Linked DNA regions of Caenorhabditis elegans. The protein of the gene in region 1 purifies or fractionates together with the protein of each later gene. This does not show direct contact. Each region holds a gene or a part of one and is shown in the gene's direction. Other genes may lie near its edges.

Evidence for each region. Proteins that work in one complex are often made in the same cells at the same time.
Region 2: the proteins of nhr-216 (region 1) and pipp-4P fractionate together in Caenorhabditis elegans (co-fractionation; one large-scale study listed by BioGRID). This does not show direct contact.

The regions. Positions count from the first base shown.
Region 1 is NC_003283.11:5,353,234-5,360,413, reverse strand, and holds nhr-216 (Nuclear Hormone Receptor family), read left to right. Parts: upstream 1-1,541; coding exon 1,542-1,577; intron 1,578-2,188; coding exon 2,189-2,308; intron 2,309-2,357; coding exon 2,358-2,458; intron 2,459-3,645; coding exon 3,646-3,720; intron 3,721-3,813; coding exon 3,814-3,872; intron 3,873-3,929; coding exon 3,930-4,219; intron 4,220-4,262; coding exon 4,263-4,370; intron 4,371-5,209; coding exon 5,210-5,329; intron 5,330-5,373; coding exon 5,374-5,469; intron 5,470-5,537; coding exon 5,538-5,638; intron 5,639-5,885; coding exon 5,886-6,004; intron 6,005-6,056; coding exon 6,057-6,208; intron 6,209-6,256; coding exon 6,257-6,352; 3' UTR 6,353-6,361; downstream 6,362-7,180.
Region 2 is NC_003281.10:2,817,273-2,825,556, forward strand, and holds the start of pipp-4P (Phosphatidylinositol-4,5-bisphosphate 4-phosphatase), read left to right. Parts: upstream 1-2,005; 5' UTR 2,006-2,009; coding exon 2,010-2,175; intron 2,176-4,435; coding exon 4,436-4,660; intron 4,661-6,195; coding exon 6,196-6,437; intron 6,438-7,272; coding exon 7,273-7,391; coding exon of another isoform or gene 7,392-7,395; exon of another isoform or gene 7,396-7,398; intron 7,399-8,284.

The DNA.
Region 1 (7,180 bases):
AATAACACCAAAACACGAACACTTGTTCCAATTCTCGGTGGGCTGCTAAAACAATATTCAGCCAAGTAGTAATTATGTGGAGACCAGAAGTCTAAGTGTCTACAGGTTTTTGAAACTTGGCGCTGCTCGAAAATAAGTCCTTATCTGAGACAATGATCAGTCTCTGTCTAGATATGGCTTTTGTTTCTCAAAAATTTACGTAATACAAATTTTAAGTCAGACAGAACAGAATCAAAGTGGTCTCTGAAATTTTGTTTATTTTGTTTATTTTCACATTCTGCTAGAATTATTAATCTCATAAAAATTCTGACTTTTGATAAAAATAAAGATTTCAGATTAAAATTGAACTTAGAACTTTTCAAATATTCAAAAAACTCAAAATTTCAAAACTAGGTAATTTGTTTGAGCCTGAATTCAAAAAATTCATTAAAAACTGACTATCAGAAAAAAACGAGACCTTTCCTCATTGTATTGTCTTGTGTTTTTTTAAATTTTATTCTTTATTTCACTTTCTTCAGAGGCCAAAGCCGCACCGTAATCAAAATTAATTAATTTAAAAAATTAGACAACAAAATTTTTGACAAATTCAAAAAGTGTTTTTCAGTCATTTTCGGTTATTTCGGGGCATTTTCCACTTTTTTATACAGAACCCCTATTGTCGATACTTCTAATCAATATTTTAAAAAAATATTTATTAAATCTCGTAACAAAAAAATCAAAAGCTGTATATATGAATGCCTCAAAAAATGCTCACAATTAGCAACTATTGCAAACTTTTTCCAATTTCAGAACTATTTTGGTATTTTTCAATTCTAAAGCGGCTAAACATTGTTCTGTTCAGAAATATGTAATAGATTCATTCAAATATAAATATCAAAAAAAAATAGTTGTATTCATTTTTTTTCCATCTTAGCAAGTACCAATCGCGTATTCTTCCAATACATTAAATCAAATGAAAAACCACAGACAGCACAAATATTGACCCTCTTTTCAAATCTTGATATGGAAAATCCTAATCTTTTTTCAAAAAGTCCAAAATGTCATACATCACTCTTAAGAAGTTCTTAAGTTCTGCTCCACCCATTCCAAATCCCTTTGCATTTTCAGAACAGACAAACCAACCGAATTATCAAATTATCAAGCATATTAGGCTTCCTTTCACATTTTCATCATTTTCACTTCCGATATTTTTGCACATTTTTTGTTTTTCCTGAGCTTTACGCTATTCGCAATTTTCTCAAGAGGGTATGACTTTCTGAGTCATTTTACTCATTTTACTCATTTCTCATATATATTTGACTCCAATTTTTGAAAACGAATTTTGAAGTCGCGCGGGATAAAAGATACAATTTCTTTGAGATAACATTTGTTTTCAAGAGGATTGAGCTTTCTCGGAAGCGACGAAAATTAACCATAACCCAATGGAGATAGACTCCACCCACTTCTCATCTGATCATTTATCGTATTTTACACATTCAAAAATAGGCGACAAGAATCTTCTACTCTAATTTACTGTACTCTCACTGATTTCTGTACTAAATATGCAGAGCAGCAGCAATATTTATATCGATCCAAGCGTTTGTTTATTGCTTAAAGAAAATACATTGCAAATACTGAGAAAAAGAACTTTCTTTTTTAAACAAGAATCAGAAATACGAATAGAATTTAACAATAATCCAATTTCTAAAATTTCAGAAAAACTTTAAAAGTTAGGCCCGATTGGAAAATGCCAATTTTTCCCGTTAAACTGGGGAGAAGGAAAACTTAAGCCTAAACCTAAGCCCAAAGCTAAGCCTAAGCCCAAGCTCACGCTCGCCACTGACGCCAAGTCTAAACAGGAACCCCCTGAAAAATAAAAAAAAACGGAAAATCCTAACCCTAAATATCGTCAGTGGTGACGCCAAGCCTAGGCTTAAACATAAGCCTAAGTCTTTTTAAAACCTAAAAACCTTTTTAAAACCAAAACCTAAGTCTAAGCCTAAAGCTTAGCCTAAGCCTAAGCTTAAACCTAAGGATAAGCCTTAGCTTTTTTTAAAGTCAACGGCTTCGTCATTATTAACACATCAAAAAATGTTTCGTTCTGTGTTTCAAATTTCGTCAAAATTATTTGAATAATTAGAAAACCCTATCTCCACTCTTAAAAAAACCTTTAAAACTCTAATAAGCTTCCAGAAACATAAATTTTCAGATGTATCCCCGGTACGAGTATGCGAATCTGGATATTTCCAGTTTCGAGCGGTCCCCCACATTTGAGCAGCCTCCAAGTTATCCAACATATGATCAACATGTTCAGTTCTTGCCAGAAATCGTGAGCTTAACCAATTTTGCCAGCTCTGCAAATTCAACACATTTTTCAGGAAAACAATGGGCCAAAACAAAAATGTCGGGTTTGCAATCTGGAAGCTCATGGAATGCACTTTGGAGTTCAAACTTGCCGGCCGTGCGCCGCATTTTTCCGGTAACAATAGGTGTAACTATTCACATTTTTTCGGTTTAAATTTGAACTAATCTTGCATGTCATTGTTTTTTTATTCAGAATTCTCTTTGTTTTCTCTTTTTCGTTTTCTATGTTTTCGCAAACCAATGATATTATTTTGTCAGTCCGTTCATATTCTATCACGCTGCGATAAGTTTCAAACAGAGAACAATAGGTGTCACGAGCCGACAGTGGTGAATTGGTATCTAAACAGACATATTTCACAATAATGAATTAGGCAATTTACAAAATGAATAGTTACTCATACTCGATTCTCAGACGTCTGTGCAAGTAGTCAAAACAGTTATTAGTGGATTTACAATAAGGTCTAAACCCGAAAGAAAATTTTATTATGAACTTCTGTAATGTAAAGCATTTTCAAATGATAAAACTGCCCAGTACAGCTTATTAAACGATCAAAGGAAGTTATCAGGTGCTTCACTATCAATTTTGTTCTAAAACATTTGAACTAAAATTTTAATCTGGAAATTGTTTTCTAGGCATATGTGATTCAAAAGTTTGAAGAACAATTTATGCATTTTTTTCACGTTTAAGGATACGGTAAAGTGACCATTGGGGAATTGATTTTTCAAAATTTTCAGCCAAAGTTTTGGGAAACTTTCAAAATATCTATACTATGAAAGCGGCTTTAAAAAATTTTTTCTTGAAACTCTAACTTTTTTTAAATTAATTTCAGTACCCGGAATACAACACAAAATTGCAAAAAAAAAAAATATTTTTGCGCAAAATATAAAAGTTTGGGCTTGGGTTTAAATTGTGCACAGTATGAATCTAGAATGGCCAATGTCCTGTCTAATTTTTGTTTCAAAATTTTTTATTTGAAAATTTATATAGAAATTTAGAAACATGCTTGTACTTTCTAATGACAAAGTTAGTTCATTTAAAAGTTTAAAAGAAAATTTGCTCAAAAACATTTTTTTTTCAAATATTTGATATTTTTGATATGAATTCTGTGACTAATTGAGACGGACTCCATGTTTTTCATACACGTGGAGATAAGCCGATAGTATAGCGCTGAGACATTTAAATCCGATTTGACTTTCTCTTGTCCCAATTTTTAAATTTGTTTTATTTTATTTTTTGCATGACATCAGTTCTTTGAACTCACTATCAGTCTCTAAAATAATAGGTTTCAACCTATATTCCAGACGGATTGTTGTACTCGATCTCAAATACACTTGCGTGTCAAATACGCAGAAATGCAATGTCGACGGGCGTGGAAGGTAATTTATTTTTAGAGAATTTTTGGATACCTAATCCTTAAGACACATACATTTTTATGAAATTCTGATTCATAATCTTTTGAATCTTTTCAGAAATGTGTGTCGCGATTGTCGCTACAAAAAATGCATTGCCGTCGGAATGACAACTGATAGTAAGTGTGTCCTTCTGACTGCCCCAAATCCTTTAAGTACATACAAATAATTTCCAGATGTCCAATACAATCGCGACAGCCACAACAACAAGAATTCTTCTGGTTCCGGTGGTGGACGGGGACGAGGTAAAAATAAGAGAAACGTCATGATGATGCTGACTGACGAGGAGGAGGCAGCCGGAAGTAGTACTGTAAAACCGGGAGGTTCGATAAAGGGGGACGAATCTTTTTGTAGTGATGGCTCTTCATCGACGCGTGGCAATCCTCAGTTAGATCCGGATGCGGAGAGACGGGACGATGAGGAAATGGACAAAATTATTAGCGATTTGAAACATTTATTTGTAGAAGTTGGATGGCTTTGAGAAAATTAAACAAGATTTTTGATTTCAGTATTCACCTCCTGAAATGATAAATCAATGCTCAATTAATCAACTTCAAAGACTTACTCATTCTTTGGTTCTGTATAGACAGAATCAGCAATCAGCTAACCAAATAAAGGTGATACGTTCGAAATGTTTAAAATATATTGAAATTGTGGTATTATACGCTGAAAGTCTTACTTGAATTTAAGATTTCAATAATGATTAAACAACTTTTTTTTGGCAAAATCGGTGAAATGTAACAGGGTGGGCGGCAAATTTTTTTGTCGACAAACTTGGCACATCGGCGAATTGCCGGTTTGCCAATTTGACGGAAATTTCCAATTCCGGCAATGTGCCGGTTTGCCTATTTGCCGGAAATTTTTATTTTCGGCAAATTGCCGATTTACCGTTTGCCGAACATCAATTTGCCGGAAGTTTTTAGAGTGATTTTTGTATAAAACGGAAACATTTTAAACTGGGCGTTTTTGAAATTTTTTCCCGTTTTTAAGATATTTTTATAGAACTTGCTCACTTTTCAAAGTAGATGTAGGAACATTCCAATGATGCATACAATTTTGCCGATTAAAATTGAAATTCTGAAATTCCCAAAAAAAATGTGCAAAACCACAGTTTGCCGAAAACTTTCGGCAATTGCTGCTTTACCGGCAAATTCGGCAGATCGACAATTTGCCGGGTTGCCGATTTGACGACAATAGCTTGGCACAACAAAATTTCATGGAAATTACCAAATCTGGATACTCAAAGGCTGGAAAATGTTAAACCCGATCTTTGCTCAGAATGTTAAACGTTCATAGAAATTTTCTGAAATTTCAGAAGAACTTCAAGCCATTTTAAATATGAAAATAAGCTCACAAACATAGTTAATTTGTGATGAGCTCATTGTGCTCACAGAGGGATTATGCGCACATCGGGAAATAACTATTCCAATTTACAGAAATTCATTCTAATTTTCAGTTTTGTGATACAATAAATGCCTTCACCGATGGCAAAGCACATCTTCAACGAAAATCCGAAAAATTCTCAAAATGGGTAAAATGTGTAGACTTTTTCGATAAGTTGTCCGATGAACAAAAAGTGAGATATTATTCTTAAGGTACTAAATTAAACAATTTTTTCAGATTGATACTGTTAAAATGTCGTTTACTGTGTTTGATAGACTTGAACGCGCTCAAATGTCTGTGAAAATTTTTGGCGAGAAGAGTATTACTGAAAAAGTAGGTTTTGATTGACTTAAGTTTGACTTAAGCTTGACTTAAGTTAATAAGGTAAAATTTTTTTCCAGAAAACCACGTTATCTTCTTATTGTGCTGTTGACTGGAAAAATGTCAAAATCAATCCAGAAACTGCAATAAATACTGAACAAGCAAATAATTATGTTAAAGCGTGAGTTTTACAGCATTTTCCCTATTAGACTTTCACCGCCAACGCTCTTCAAAGTCTTATATTTCGGTTCTCTTCAGTTTTACCAAAACATGTTCTACTGTCGAAATCTAGAAAAATTTTTTGCACGTATTTTGTTAGTTGGCAATTTTTTGCTAAAACCCAATAGAAACTATATATCAACGGTCAAAGTACATCATGTGTAATTGGGAAAATACTGTATTCATTTCTTAATGAACAATTTTTAAAGTGAATTCCACGCTCATGTTGATTCAATTATTGATGAAGTATGCAAACCACTTTATGAACTTCAACTTTCTGACACTGAAACTGCATTCATTTTGGTACAAGTTCTTGTTTATCACGGAGGTTTGTTCCCTTATAGAACCAATGTTCAACCCTTTATGTAATTTGTCTTCAGGTGAAAAAGTGACTCCTGAATTAGTGAAAATGTTCGATCAACTTCGTGAGACTATTGCCACAGATCTTCATCTTTATTATACAAAAGAATCTCAAACAGGAACTGATACAAATCGAATACTCAAAATGATGAGCGTTGTAAACGCTATGAAAGTATGCTGACCTTAATAAACTTTTAGTCATATACTATAAAATTTTCAGAAAATTCACGCAGATCGTGTCAGGAAAAGTGATTTAATACAAATATTCAATATTTATAAAGTATCTGAAAAACGAACCGATTTTAATTGTAGCTAATTTTTCTTTTTTTTTGTATTTTTTGAATATATACTGTGTTTTTGTGTTTTCTTTTGGTGTGTTCTTTTTTTTCTTTTTTTTTTGCAATTTCCCAACAATTCATTTTTCTCATACCATAAAACGTTGTACTATTAATTTTTTTTGTTAATTCGAAGCTCAAAATTTGAGTTCAAGTTAAAAAAAAAACTTCATGTAGAAATTTTCAAGTGATCTTCAGAAAAGGCGTTTGTGGTCGGTTAGAAATATATTCATGGCAAATACTCATTGACTCCAAAATCATTGACTACCTGTTCTCATTGTCTACCCTTGCTCATTGACTACCCTTGCTCTTTGTCTATCTCTTTCTCATTGACTACCTGTGCTCATTGCCTTCCTGTTCTCATTGCCTACTTGTTGCTCGTTGACTACCTTTTCTCATTGCCTACTCTTTCTCATTGCCTATCTTTTGCTCATTGTCTACTCGTTTTCTACATCAGTCAAGAGGCACGTACAAGGACCGTATTTCAAGAATACATCAAAGGCACATATACTCAATTTGTTCATTTCTTCAAAGGGTATACATATTTACAATCTTTCAATCTGTACACAACGTTTCGGGCAACAATTAGTAGTAGCTGAGTCATGTTTTAATTTATATTAATTTTGATAGGACACGAAAAGGCTGCCGTAGTATCAGACGTGTCAGACAAGGATGCACTGGAGTTGATGGTGGCTTTCGATCTAAAAATGAAATAACCTTCAAAACTCTCTGAACTGAGTATTTTCAAACTGGCGTATCTCAAAAAATACACATCTGGAAAACAAATGACCAACTAACAAAATGATCAG
Region 2 (8,284 bases), on another chromosome or scaffold:
TAAATGCTGAGACTACCTGATTTTCATAACGAGACCGCTGAAAAAGTTTTGAGGTTTCCAAAATTCAACTTTTTTGGTGAAAAAGTAGAGATTTTCGCACAAAAAGTTGAATTTTGAAAGCCTCAAAACTTTTTCAGCGGTCTCGTTATGAAAATCAGGTAATTTCAGCATCATATGTATCATGTTTCAGAAGTTTAGGTTTTGTATTCCCGTAATCCATCATTTTACATTGCCCACTTTCACCGCTGCTTGCCGACTGAATACATAATTTTTTTACTTGGAAATTGTTTTAGCATCTGCAAAAAATATTTATTTATCAGTTTTATTAAGAAAAAACGAAAAAAAATAAGTGAAAAACGAAAGAAGACAAACGGAAAACAAAGCAAGATAAATGGCCGCTGAAACTTGTCGGCCCCTCGGCCATGGCCTAGAAACCACTTTCCCTCGTCCCTCGTGAGGAAAAAGTTGCAGTGGATTTTAGCATTTCTGGTGTGATTTTCCAAACGAAATGCCGGTTTAAACCGGAAAATTTTGTATTTTTCCTCTAAATTGTGATAATACCCACTCACAAGCTCCCTTATATTTCAATAATAATAGAATAATGACCGTGCGAAACGGCCATGTGTCGATTTACGCAGCTCGTGTACTCCTCGAGGAAAAAAACCCGTTAAAAAAATCACGAATATTTTCAATTTTGGCTAAATTCCCTTTAAAATGAGCGAACTCCGCCCACTTTATCTGATTGGTTGGAAAGTGGGCGGAGCGATTCGCTGATTGGTCGCAGTTCGAATTTAGCCAAAATTGAAAAATCGCGATCTTTAAAGTGATTTTTCCGGCTTTTTTGTTGTTATGTGAACTTTCGCTGTTAATGTGAAATTCAGAAAATCTACGAAAAAAGGAAAAAAAATCACGGAAGAATGAAAAATCCAACTTTTAAAAACGAGAATTTTCAGTTTTGGCTGAATTCCCTCCAAAATGAGAACTCCGGGAGGACCAATCAGCATCTTCAAACTCCGCCCACGCAATCTGATTGGTTCAAAAGTGGGCGGGGCGATTCGCTGATTGGTTGCAGTTCGTATTTAGCCAAAATTCAAAAATCACGTTTTTAAATGTGGAGTAGCGCCAGTGGGGAAATTGCTTTAAAACACGCCCATGGGGTCACAATGACCAAATATCATAGTAAAAAAATTCAAAAAAATTTTCTAAATCTTATATGATTTTTTGAAAATTGAAAAAATCTCGAATTGCATCAAATTCCTATTTGAATTACCGCCAATAGTTCGATGTTCGATGGAGCGCGCTTGCATTATTTTAACTTTTATTTATTAGTTTTTCTTATTTTTGATTGATTTTTCATGTTTTTTTGAGTAATTTTACTGGAAATTTAATGAAAAATTCAAGATAAATGTACTTTTTTATTAAAAAGCGGGCGCTAAGGCCTTAATCTTTTAAATATATTATTTCAGGCTCAACGTCGTTGAAAAACGTGCTATCTCTGTTTTCAATTATTTTTAGTGAACAATCTACATTTATCTTGAATTTTTCATTAAATTTCCAGTAAAATTACTCAAAAAAACATGAAAAATCAATCAAAAATAAGAAAAATTAATAAATAAAAGTTAAAATGATGCAAGCGCGCTCCATCGAACATCGAACTATTGGCGGTAATTCAAATAGGAATTTGACGCAATTCGAGATTTTTTTCAATTTTCAAAAAATCATATAAAATTTAGACATTTTTAAAAAAATTTTTTACTATGATATTTGGGCATTGTGGTACCATAGGCATGTTTTAAAGCAATTTCCCCACTGGCGCTACTCCACATTTAAAAGTAGGATTTTCCATTTTCGGGATTTATGGCTAAGTGTTTCAAAGCAAAATCTAGCACAAAGTTTATGAATTTAGGATGAAATTCTCTATTTTTCACTGAATTTTTTCCGATTTTTCGCTCATTTTTCACGTATAAAACCCGCCAAACCCCCTAAAATCTTCAAATTTTTCTGTAGGAATGGACGTACCACCAGAGGATCATCTACGAAATCAAGAGAATCAACCATTACTCGATGAGGGTATTGGAATGTATTCAGAGGATTTGGATCGAAATGATGAACCTGAATATATTACTGAATATGGAGATGGAACAGAATCTGCTCAAAGAGCACAAAGACCAAATGGTATTAATCATAGGAGGAAATTTAAACAAATTTCAAGTTTTTTCCCCGAAAAATCCTTAAATTTCGAGCGAAAACTACCTAAAAATGAGCTCCGTGACTTATGTGTTCTACTCGTATTGATTGCAGTAAAAACGGATATTTATTCACATTTTCAGCGTTTTAAATTGGCTAAAAATGTGAATAAATACCGTATTTCTGCCAACAATTTGACAATAGAGCACATTTGTCACTCGGAGATGCGGAAGCTATGCACAAATTTTGCAATTTTTACTCGAAAACTTGTGATTTTCACAGATGTTCAGTAAAAAATTCGAACTCTCCGTCACTTTTTACACCTGTAACCCATTTTCCAGCCAAATCAGACAAATGTTCGTAAGATTCGGTGCCGAGTACGCAGCCCTCGGTGTTTGCGTACTTTTGGAGCTACCGTAACCCTTGAATTTTAGATTCCAAGCTAGAGACTCAGAAAAACCTTACAAATTCGAAATTTCAGCAATTTTCGCCAATTTTTAGTTTTTTTTTCGGCTGAAATTTCAAAAAAACTATAAAATGCGGAATATTTTAGCGTTTTTAGTCGAAAAATTATAAAATTACAGGATTTTGTTTCAGTTTACAAATTTTTTCGCGTTTTTTAACAGAAATAATCTGAAATATACAGGCTTTATTACTGATTACAGAAAAATAACAAAGTTACGTTTTTTTTTCTGGAGAAAAAAATTTAAAATTTCAAAGTTTTTCGAAAAATCTGAACATTGGAATTGTTTTAAAAAACGAAAATTCAACCTATTTCTACTATTTTCAACAAAAAAACCCGTGATTTTACATATTTTCAACTGAAATTCCGTAATTTGAGATTTTCTTTTCCGAAAAAGAGTTTTTAAAAAAATCCTGTAATTTTAAAATATTCGGCATTTTTTGAAATTTCAGCAGTAAAAACTAAAACTAAAACTTGGAAAAATTTGATGAAATTTCGAATTAACTTTATTTTTCTATTTGTAAAGCTAAAATATTCCAATTTTTTCAAACAGAAAAAATTATTTTAATTCAATTTTATAATTTAATAGAACTGTTAAAAAAAAAAGTAAAACTAAGGAATTTGTGATTTTTAGGTTCGTGAAAAGAAGTTGAAATTTTTTACAAATTTCTTTCTATTGTCCGGGAAAACTTCTGAAAATTTTACGATTTTTCACTCAAAAATTCTCTGAATTTCAGGGCTTTTCGACAAAAAAGTCCTAACACTGCAACTTTTTCCTCACGAGGGACGAGGAAAAGTGGTTTCTAGGCCATGGCCGAGGGGCCGACAAGTTTCAGCGGCCATTTATCTTGCTTTGTTTTCCGCCTGTTTTCTTTTGTTTTTCACTTATTTTTTTCGTTTTTTCTTAATAAAACTGATAAATAAATATTTTTTGCAGATGCTAAAACAATTTCCAAGTAAAAAAATTATGTATTCAGTCGGCAAGCAGCGGTGAAAGTGGGCAATGTAAAATGATGGATTACGGGAATACAATACCTAATTCGCACAAAAAGTTGAATTTTGAAAACCTCAAAACTTTTTCAGCGGTCTCGTTATGAAAATCAGGTAATTTCAGCATCTAAGCAGCATATGTATCATGTTTCAAAAAAGTTTAGGTTTTGTATTCCCGTAATCCATCATTTTACATTGCCCACTTTCACCGCTGCTTGCCGACTGAATACATAATTTTTTTACTTGGAAATTGTTTTAGCATCTGCAAAAAATATTTATTTATCAGTTTTATTAAGAAAAAACGGGAAAAAGCTGTGAAAAACAAAAGAAAACAGGCGGAAAACAAAGCAAGATAAATGGCCGCTGAAACTTCTCGGCCCCTCGGCCATGGCCTAGAAACCACTTTTCCTCGTCCCTCGTGAGGAAAAAGTTGCAGTGTTCACCTAAAAATTCTCTGAATTTCAGGGCCTTCCGACAAAAAAGTCCTAATTTAAAATTCCAAAAATTCCCCCAAATAAATCTGGTCAAATAAAGAAAAATTAATTTCGTTCTGAATTTTTACAGTAAAAATCAAGTTTTTAATGACTTTTGGCTCAAATTCGAGCAAAAAATCGGGAAAAATCCAGATTTTCCAACGAATTTTTTTAGCATTTTCCGACAAAAATTCGAAATTAATAAAAAAATATTTTTTTAAAAAGATTTTGTAAATTTCGAATTTTTCCTAAAAAAATCGGAAAAATTACAAAAATTCCCCCAAATAAATGTGCTCAAATAAAGAAAAATTAATTTTTGCAGGAGCAACAGTTCTCTGCCGTGTGTGTGATGTTGCAGTATCTTTGGAAGGACGTAATCAACAACACGTTGTTAAATGCCATAGTTGTGATGAAGCAACTCCAATTCGTCCAGCTCCACCCGGAAAGAAATATGTGAGATGTCCGTGTAATTGCCTATTGATCTGCAAGGCTTCATCTACGAGAATTGCCTGCCCACGCAATAATTGCCGTCGGGTTATCACTTTGGGTACGGTTATAGTACCCGGGAATTTTTTTTTTAAGGAAAAAAAATGAAATTTTCACGATTTTTGATTAGAAAAACTGGAAATTTCCGGTTTTTTCGTCGAAAAGCCCTGAAATTCAGGATTTTTAGGCGAAAAATTGTTTTTTCCCTTTTTTTGGAAAAAATCAAAATGAAAACCGGAGTTTTAGTTAAAAATAGTAGAACCACGGTTTTTTTGTTGAAAAATAGTAAAAACTTTTGAATTTTTGGTTGAATTTTGAATTTTCATTTTTCAAACGTTTTTTACTATTTTTCAGTGAAAAGAAACTATAGTTTCACTATTTTCAACTGGAATTCCGGAATTTTAGTTTTTTTTTTCGAACACAAAGGATAACTTCTCTGTTTTGAACAACAAAAAAAACTGACATTTTACGATTTCTCCTGTGAAAATTGTAAATTGACATCTTTTTGGCAAAAAAGTCTCTAAACTTCAGATTTTTTTCAAAAAAAGAAAATTTACATTATTTTTAAACAAAAATTTGAAAAAAATAAGTTTTTTTTTTCAAAAAAATATCAAATTTTTTAAAACATATTTATTACGGAAACACATAATTCTGAGAATGCGTATTGTACAACATATTTGACGCGCAAAATATCTCGTAGCGAAAACTACAATAATTCTTTAAACGTTTGTGTCGATTTACGGGCTCGATTTTGTTAAAAGAGTTCAGTTATTTAATAATTGAGCCCGTAAATCGACACAACCGCGCTACAGTAGTCATTTAAAGGATTACTGTAGTTTTCGCTACGAGATATTTTGCGCGTCAAATGTGTTGCGCGATACGCATTTTCAGAATTTTGTTTTCCCGTAATAAATATGTGGAAAAATGTTGAAAATCTTTTTTTTTTTTTTTTGGAAAAACTGTTTTTTTATATTTTTTGATAGAATTTTCAATTAAAAAAAAAGATCAAAATTTCAAGATTTTTTTGTTGAAAAATTGATAATTTTGCGATTTAATGAAAAAAAAAAATATGTTTGCTTTTTTTTAAATTTAAATTTTAAAAAAATCTCAATTTATGATTGTTTTGCTTGATAAATCGATTATTTTTGCGATTTTATTGAAAAAATTTTTTTTTTTTTCAAAATTCCACAAAAATTTTAATTTTTTAAAAATTTTTGCAGCCGGTCAACGGGACCCGGGAACAGCAATTCGTGCACCAATTTTTCGTGTTTTCGTAATAAATATGTGGAAAAATTTTGAAAATTAAAAATTTTTTGGAATATTAAATAAAATCTTTGTTTTTTATATTGATCAAGCTGGAAAATTGTTTTTTTTTTTAATAGAATTTTCAATTTTTTCAAAAAAAAAATCAAAATTTCACTTAAAAATTTGAATTTTTCACCTAAAAATTCAATTTTTCACTCAAAAATTAAATTTTTAAAGAATCTAAATTTTAGATTTTTTGATAGAAAAATCGAATATTTTTGCGATTTTAATGAAAAAAGGTTTTTTTTTCAAAATTCCACAAAAATTTTAATTTTTTTTCAATTTTTGCAGCCGGTCAACGGGACCCGGGAACAGCAATTCGTGCACCAACAGGAAGTTGCCGTGTCAAATGTAATCATTGCAATGAGATATTCCTATTCAATACACTGACAAATGCGCTGGCAAATTGTCCACATTGCAAGAAATATTCGACTGTCGGAAGTTTTGCTCGTCGTCGTGCTCTTTTATTCTTTATTCTTGCTGCAACTGTTGCTGTGTTGGCTGTTATTTTGACAATGTTGACGAATGCATCGGTAGGGCCAGTTTTCAGTGCGAAATTTGAATTTCTCGTGAAATTTTGAGCTTGGAGCGCGGAATTTCTGAGAATTTCGAGAAAGATTGAGCTGAAAAATATAATTTTTCAAAAAAAAAATGTTGTGCTCAAAATTGTGGAATTTTCGATTTTTTTTTGTAACATTTCGAGCTGAAACATTTTTTTTCAAATTGTATTTTTTTGCGAAAAAAAATCGGTAAAAACTCTGAAAAATTTCAATTTCAATAGATTTTTGCAGTAAAAAGCAAGTTTTTTAATAATTTTGTTGGAAAATGTGACTTTTTTTCGAGAATAATCTGAAAACTTTAGAATTTTTTTTTTCTATTTTCAGACAAAATTTATAACAATCCATTAGATTTTTACAGTAAAAAACATATTTTTGATTTTCTAAATGTTTTTTTTTTTCAGAAAAATTGGCTGAAAAATTGAAAAAAAAGGAGAAATTTGAATGAAAATTTGCAGAAAAAGCTTTAATTTTTAATTTTCCAGACAAAAATCTGAAAATTTCAGATTTTTATGATAAAAATCTTTAAATTTTCAAAATGCATTTTGGCTCAAATTTGACCAAAAAAAAAATGGAAAAGAGCATTTTTTCACAAAAATTTGAAAAATTTTCTATAAAATTTTAATTTTCCAGAAAACGTTGAGCTGAAAAATTGGAAAAAAGTTGTAATTTTTAATATTTTCTATCGGAAATCGTTCTGAGAAAGCTTACAAAAGCCCCAATTTTATTAGATTTTTGGCTCAAATTAAGAAAAAAAAGTGGAAAAATTGGAAAATTTTCGGATTTTCAGGCAAATTTCGAGTATTTTCAGACATTCAACAAGATCTACATGGTGCCGATTCTGATTGGGCTCTACGGATGTGCTCTTTATACAGCTTACAAATCATTCAATTATTATACGTGCAGGAAATCGGAAATTATTGGGCCAGTGTAAGGAGTTGAGTGGGTTCGAGTTGAAAATTCAGTGGAAATTATGAAAATTCAATGGAGAAATCATTGTTTTTAGCGGAATTTTGGAGATTTTTCACCCAAAAATTGCCGAAAAACGGAAAATTTCAAAAAAAAAGTTCATATTTTTCACTGAAAAATTTTTAAAAAAATTGTAAATTTTATGTTTTCCGAGCTGAAAAACTGTAATTTCTGAAAATTTCCTTTTTTTTTATTTTGAAAATCGGAAAATTCGAAATGTTTCGATTTTTAGGGATTTTCAAGGTTTTTCAAGCTAAAAAATCTGAAATTTAAAAAAAAAATAAATATCCAAGGTTTTCAAGGATGAAAAATATAATTTTTAAAGTAATTTTCAGCTGGAAAACGTCAAATTTTTGTATTTTTAAAAAAATAAAAACCGAATTTTTCCACCGAAAACAATTTCTCGAAAGTAAGAAAATCTGAAAATTTGTTAATTTTTTAGTCAAAAAAGCTGAAATGTTCTCGTATTTTGTGAGAAAAAAAAACGTATTTTTTCCGGAAATTCAGTTTTTCATTCGAAAAATTGAAAATATTTTGAATTCTCAATTTTTTGATCAAAAAATATAAAAATTTTACAATTTTTCAATATGAAAATTGTTAATTTACATTTTTTCCAATTTCGAAAATCTGAAAAATCTGAAAATTCCAGCTTTTCTTTTTGAAAAATTCGAAATTTTCCGATTTTTAAGTGGAAAATTTGGAAAATTCACGGATTTTCGAATAAAAAATCGGAACATTGCTCAATTTTCGTGAAATTTTAAGGTTTTTCAAGCTAAAAAAATTGAAATTTTGAATAATAAATATCCGAGGCTTCCAAGATGAAAAATATAATTTTTTAAATAATTTTCAGCTGG